Linked DNA regions of Rattus norvegicus. The protein of the gene in region 2 interacts with the protein of the main gene of each other region in a biochemical or structural test. Links are inferred from orthologs where the notes say so. Each region holds a gene or a part of one and is shown on either strand. Other genes may lie near its edges.

The links.
Region 1: the proteins of Fgfr4 (region 2) and Fgf19 form a complex in vitro, tested with the Homo sapiens proteins (2 studies listed by BioGRID and IntAct). The link is inferred for Rattus norvegicus from reciprocal best matches to the Homo sapiens genes FGFR4 and FGF19.

What each region holds. Positions count from the first base shown.
Region 1 is NC_086019.1:209,484,662-209,488,617, reverse strand, and holds the start of Fgf19 (fibroblast growth factor 19 precursor), read right to left. Parts: upstream 2,806-3,956; 5' UTR 2,676-2,805; coding exon 2,423-2,675; intron 2,241-2,422; coding exon 2,137-2,240; intron 1-2,136. UniProt on the Homo sapiens protein: Involved in the suppression of bile acid biosynthesis through down-regulation of CYP7A1 expression, following positive regulation of the JNK and ERK1/2 cascades. Stimulates glucose uptake in adipocytes. Activity requires the presence of KLB and FGFR4.
Region 2 is NC_086035.1:9,466,185-9,468,798, reverse strand, and holds the end of Fgfr4 (fibroblast growth factor receptor 4 precursor), read left to right. Parts: intron 1-219; coding exon 220-342; intron 343-449; coding exon 450-520; intron 521-758; coding exon 759-896; intron 897-1,177; coding exon 1,178-1,283; intron 1,284-1,399; coding exon 1,400-1,549; 3' UTR 1,550-2,113; downstream 2,114-2,614. UniProt on the Homo sapiens protein: Tyrosine-protein kinase that acts as a cell-surface receptor for fibroblast growth factors and plays a role in the regulation of cell proliferation, differentiation and migration, and in regulation of lipid metabolism, bile acid biosynthesis, glucose uptake, vitamin D metabolism and phosphate homeostasis.

The DNA.
Region 1 (3,956 bases), on a different chromosome or scaffold from region 2:
GCATCTATAACCACTTTAGGTCTGGATTTCCATTTTGAAACAGGTACCTCCTGGACCATGCTGACTTTGAACTCCTGATCCTCCTGCCTCCACCTCCCAAGTGCTGGGATGACAGACAAGTGAGCTCCACTGAGCTGGGTTTACGTAGTGCTCAACTGAACTCTGGGCTTTGAGCGTGCTAGGCAAACCACTCCACCAGCTGAACTCAGTTCCCCAGCCCCATCGTGTTTAAGACAGGGTATCACTCTGTGGGCTTTACCTCTCAGTGATCCTCCTGCCTCAGCTACCAGAAGGTTGGTATGTGCCAACGCGCCTGGTTTGTACCAATTATCCACCCCAACTGAGCCATATCCATGCAGAAGCTGGCAGTGTGCAAGTCTTCTGGCCTTTAACAAGTGACTTTAAGTTCTGATCACTATTTATCTGCTTTCCAAAACTCTGATCCCAGTTAGATTGCATTTTCTGGGTAGTAGCTGCAGCCTGGCCTGGGGCCAGGGATAGAGTGATCCTTCCTTGCTAGACCTGCAGCACAGGGAGCTTTTCTAATGCTGAGGTGGTTGAGTCTCCTACCATTGTGAGAGGAGAAGCCCCCTCACAGGCAGCCAGCCAGGATCTGCCTGATAATCCGCAGCTCCTCCCCCCATGCCCGGGACCAAGCCCACACCCTGTGGGTGGCCGGAAATGAGTGCTGTAGGAAGCTGTCCCTGATCCTCATCCCCAGTACCAGAATATTCCTAGTCCCTAGGCTTGAGGTATCAGTTGCAGTCTCCTAGACTGGTGCCACAGCCCCTTGGGGAGCCTACATGGCTCAATAAAACACAGGCTGTGTCTGCCTATGCATGCCGAGGTCACTGACCTGCAGGTGGAGACTGTTGGCAGATAAGGCTCTGATAACAGGCTAATTCCAAGAACCCATTGCTCCTGCCCTGGCTGATGGCACTAGGACAGAGCCACCACACGACAGGGGCCATGTTCCATGAAAACTGTGTAGATAAACATGGGATGTATTTCTCTTGGAGAATTCATATGGACAACTGGCCACTACCCTTTTTTTAATATAGGAACAATGGATTGTGGGGTTTCTATTTTTTAAAAAGGAGAGTTGGTGATGAACTATGCCCACCGGATCCAGGACAACACTGGAATTGGGGGTCAAAGCTCCCGTGGGCCTTCCTATACTATTTACATTAGTGCAGAATGGGGGTCGGACCCCCTGCTCAGCACCCTTGTCATAAATAACGGGAAGACACTGGCAGGAGATTTGCTTGGGTCTGGGTCAGCTTTCAGCCAGGCAGAGGACCTCCTCCTTTCTCTGCAGAATCCTTTCTCTCTTTCCTCTCTTTGTGGTCTTTTCATGTAGCTAAATCAACCTCAGTGCTGCAAACAATTTTGAGACTCTTAAACAGAAGGACGAAAAGGTTGAGTCCTGTAGCTATCCTCATAGGGGGTCCCAGCTTCTCCCAGGAGCCCAGAGCTAGATGGGAGGCCTCGGCCAAGGGACCTCACACAGCCTCTGCTAGTACCCCCAGAGGTAGGGCTGAAGGCTTCTTTTAACACCCAGCCTCTGTCCCTACAAAGCACTAGCCCACATACTTCAAGTCTCTGGATTTCAGGGGTTACCTGATTGTGGCCAGCACGCCTCACCCCAATTACCCGAGGCCCCAAGCAGGTGAGCATCTTGGGGACTTTCTAAAGTATTTCTAAATTTTACATCACACTGTGTACCTAGGACATAAAGATCCTTCCTTTTTTTTGTTGTTGTTTGTTTGTTTTGTTTTTTGTTTTCTTTTTAACTTGAGGGAGAGGAGAAAACCGAGGACCACACACGCAAAGCCTGGAGATGAAAAACGGAAGAGGCAGGTTTTCCGGTTCAATATCAAAGGGACCGAAAGCTGAATGGGACTTAGCAGCCAGCCCAGCCTTTGGAGGATTAGACAGCTCCACTGACCTCCCCATTTCCCCGCTGCCGCCTGGGGCCATCACTTTGCGCAGGGCGGGCAAGAGTAACATTAGCCTCACTATCATTGGTACCTTGCCTCAAGTTCCTTTAGGGCCTGAACAGGAGGTGAAAAAAAAAAAAAACAAATATGGACCCAGCGCGGCCCGGAGCATCCCGCCGCGTGGAGGAACACTCACCAGCCCGTATATCTTGCCGTCGGCGCTCATGCAGAGGTACCGCACGCTGCTGACGTCCTTGATGGCAATTGTCTTCAGAGCAACCGCGCGGAACTCCAACAGATCTGCAAGAGAAGGAAAAAGTTGCCTGGGCCCAGCAACACGTGGGTACAGCGGCGTCACACTGCCTCGTCCTTCCCCAGCTTAGTCTAGAAGTCAGGGGTGGGAGGATGTTAAAGCCACGGTGACATATCCACGTGCTCCTAGATCCTAAGGGACTCGAGGGGACACGCTGGTGGATACTCACTTCGTTCGTTCTGGTCCTCCTCGCAGTCCACAGAGCCGTCACTCCGGATACGCAGGAAGCAGTTGGAGACGTAGGGACCAGCAGAGTACAGGTACTGCAGGCGGGTAATCTTGCCCCAGCCATAGAGAAAGAGTGGACCTTCATCCGACACAGACTGGGATTGCTGGACCAGGGGACGCCCAGACACGGCCAGCCACAGAGTGGCCAGGACCAGAGCTCGGGCCACAATACGCCCACTCCACTTTCTCGCCATGGCACCTCGGGGTCGTGAAGGCAGCTACAAAGGTGGCGCGGAGACTGCGACGCGGCAGGGACTCGCAAGGCAGGCACAGCCCACAAAGCAATCGGGCGCTTGCAGCGCGGGGCGCTGCTGCTTCGACGGCGTTGCGGCTCCGGGCACGCGGCCTTATATACGTTTCGTCCCTCTGGCCCGGGTGTAGGTGACCGCAGTAGCAAGGCAGTCCTCCTAATTGCATCAAGTCTCCGCCCCCCGCACACACCCATTCAGCCCCATCCCAGTGACCCCGCCCAGGCAGGCCAGATCTAGCAGTGGAGGAGCCCCCTTTGTGACCAAGGCCGGGGGTGGGGTGGGGGGAGTGTTAAATGCACAGTGTCTTGATGGTTATTGAATAGGCTATTTTAATGTTACGATTAATTACTGAGGTCTTAAGGCCCTGGGCTTTCAGAGGGCTGCGCTTGGGACGGTCATTAGAGACTTAGAAGGCACGCAGAGCTCTGCCTCCGTACCCCCCACCCCCGTTTTGAGTCTTGGGTCTCTTCTTTGGCACGCTCTCGCAGATCGGATCCTCCCACATTCTCCAGCCCCAGACCTAGGCTCCCTATTCATGGATATTTGCCCTACACAGTGAAGACATAGTGGGAGTGTGTCGCGCTCACTAGGTGGCGCTTCAGCCCCAGTTTCGGCCTCCACTGTGCTGCCAGCTGCTCTCTGTGCGTCCTCTGCTTGCCTCGCGCGTGGACTCCACAAGGCGAGAGTCACTGGGGCTGTGACTTTGAGAAGGATGAGCTGACCAGCGCGCAGAGGCAGGGCAGGGGAGGTCGCGGCGTCCCCTCTTGGGTCGGTGATCAGGCCCTTGAGTCTGCGCGCGGGGGACAGCTGCGTACCGGTGAGGAGGGGGCCAGCTAGGAGCAACGGTGGACGCTGCTGGCGGTGGGTCAGGTGGGAGGAGAATGGGGGCCTCTCCTTGAGCCGCTCTTGCAAAGAAAGGAGGCAGCCTGCAGAGAATTCCCCGGCCTGGAAGAAAGGGTCCTCGCAGGGGGCTTTGGTTCAGCGCGTAGCCTTTCTCATTATGCCTCCAATCCCCCAACTCCTGGGTGTGCCCCCCCCCCCAAGCTGGTTTGGGGAAAGAGGTACTGGCCTAGCTCCGTGGTGATGGGAGGTCTGTCTGCAGGGGCCGGACAACAGAAAAATGGCAGGTCTGATGAATCTCAATGAGGAACACGCCACTTTCAGACGCCATCAGTGACTGGCATAAATGACGGAGCTCTGGGAGAATGTCACCAGGAAAGCCTT
Region 2 (2,614 bases):
CATTCTCTCCACCCGAGGGCAAGCATGGTGTAGGCGTGGGCTCTGAACAAACCGTGCTTCTTTCTTTTTCTCTTTCTGGGCCTGGGGATTCAGCCCGGGCCTCTGCCCATTCCATTTCTCATCAGTTCGGGGGTTGAGTGACTCTGGCCCCTGGGCTTGCTGTGAAACGTTGAACTCCCAGACGTGTGTCCTGATTGATACTCCCTACCCTGTCCTCAGTGCATCCACCGGGACCTGGCTGCCCGAAACGTGCTGGTGACCGAGGATGACGTGATGAAGATCGCTGACTTTGGTCTGGCCCGTGGTGTCCACCACATCGACTACTATAAGAAAACCAGCAATGTGAGGGGCACCGCGGAGACACATGGGAGTGGGGCGGGGACTAGACCTGGTCTAAAAGGGATAGGTCCTGTACTACTCACACCACTGTCCCCTCCTCCTTCCTCCAGGGCCGCCTGCCAGTCAAGTGGATGGCTCCTGAGGCGTTGTTTGACCGTGTATACACACACCAGAGTGACGTGTGAGTCCGGGAACTGGGTTCTAAGATGGCTGCTGGATATCTTCAAGTTGTCCATCCCCTCTAAAAGGGCAATGCGCTTGCCAAAGTCATAAGATCTTAGGAGTTCCTCTGATACTCCTAAGGAAAGGAGTGCCCCTCCCTATCCCCAAGGGTGCATCGCGACTGCAGTAGCCTTTACCACAGCTTCAATGAGGAAGGAAGGAAGCTGGGCCCCACTGAGCTGCAGTTCTACCTCCAGGTGGTCCTTCGGGATCCTGCTGTGGGAAATCTTCACCCTCGGGGGCTCCCCATACCCCGGCATCCCAGTGGAGGAGCTGTTCTCACTGCTGCGAGAGGGGCACAGGATGGAGCGGCCCCCAAACTGCCCCTCAGAGCTGTAAGGTCACCCTCCTTGCCCCAGTGTCCAGACCTCATCCTGGGTCCTGACTTTGATGTCAGCTTTGACCCTGGCCATAGAGCAGTACTGTCTCCACTCCGGTTCCCTCTTCTTCCTCTCCACGGCTCACGGTGCCCTGGTCTTGTTCCTACTCTCCCATTAACCTGCCCTGCTTCTCCTGCCCAGCCCCCACACCCGCCGTGCCCGGAGCCCCAACCCTAGGGAGCCCACAGTCCTCACTTTGCCCGCCCTAGACATAAGTTTCTTTGACCCGTTCCCAGGTATGGGCTAATGAGGGAGTGTTGGCACGCAGCTCCTTCTCAGAGGCCGACTTTTAAGCAGCTGGTGGAAGCTCTGGACAAGGTCCTGCTGGCTGTCTCTGAAGAGGTACTGCCCATCCCCGCCCCATGCCCTCTCTCTGCCCGATCCCATGACCTAGGGACCTGACCATCTGAAGCATCCAGTCCCAGAGGCTGGAAGTTGAGCAGCTCTGTTCCTTGCAGTACCTTGACCTCCGCCTGACCTTTGGACCCTATTCCCCCAACAATGGGGATGCCAGCAGCACGTGCTCCTCCAGCGACTCGGTTTTCAGCCACGACCCTTTGCCCCTCGAGCCAAGCCCCTTCCCATTTCCTGAGGCGCAGACCACATGAGCCTGGGAACGATGTTGCATGGGCTCGTAGGCCCGTGGCCGTGGGACTCCAACCTGTTTCATCAGCATTTGACGTTGGCACTGTCATCAGGCCTCTGACTCGAGGCTACTGCTGGCCCAGATCCTCTCTCTGGCCCTGTTTTGGGGAGGCCCATTCTTGGTCTTGGGGTTCACAGTTGAGGCCTTCTGTTCCAAACTTATGTTCCCAGCTCAGAGTTCAACTCCTCGTCTCAAGATCATGGTCGTGCCCTTGGACTCATCCTCAAAGGAGCGAAGCATTAAGGCCTTGACACTTAGCCTCCACCCCAGGGGCTCTCCGGGCCTGACTGCAAATCTTTGGTCCTAAACATTTCTAGCTCCCCAAACAACCTAGAGGCCTCGGGACTTCACTGCACCCCCGCCCCCGCAGCCCACAAGCCTCGCCACCCTGGTCCCCAACTCCCCACTGCTTGTTCTAGCATCTTGTTGAAGGAGCCTCAGCTCTGGTGTCCTTGAGAGACGAGAAGCCTGTGGAAAAGACAGAAGAACAAGGCATTTTATAAATTATTATTATTTTTTGAAATAACTCTCTGTATGCCTGGTGTCTTCCCTGAGTGGCAGGGCGGATCGTGGGAAGACTCTCCATGTTGGGAGTTCGGTCTGGGTTACCCAGACGACTGGGGCGGGGGCGGGTGCCAGGCAGGCCTACAGCGGGCTTCCGCCTCCAGCCGTGCTAGCGCAGACTCCCAGGCAGAAACACACCCTTGCCTTTGTCCGTCCTACAGAATCAACCTTGTGTGTGCAGCGGTGAGTGGGTGCTCATGGGCAGACGAGCCCACACTGCACCATCTGTAAGGCAGGCCCCGTATCCTCTGTACACGCATACATGTTTGGCCCACAACTGTCCCCGAGGGAGCTGGCGTCCCCTCCCCCATCTGCTCAGCATTAACCAAACTGACCGTTAACACAGCACGGAAACGTGAAATCAAGCCTCCAGCCACTGCCTGCTCCCACGGTCTGGATCCGCCGGCTCAGGCTCAGGGCTTGTGGGGGCCGTGCCCGCCCTGCCTGGCCCTGGCCAGTCTCC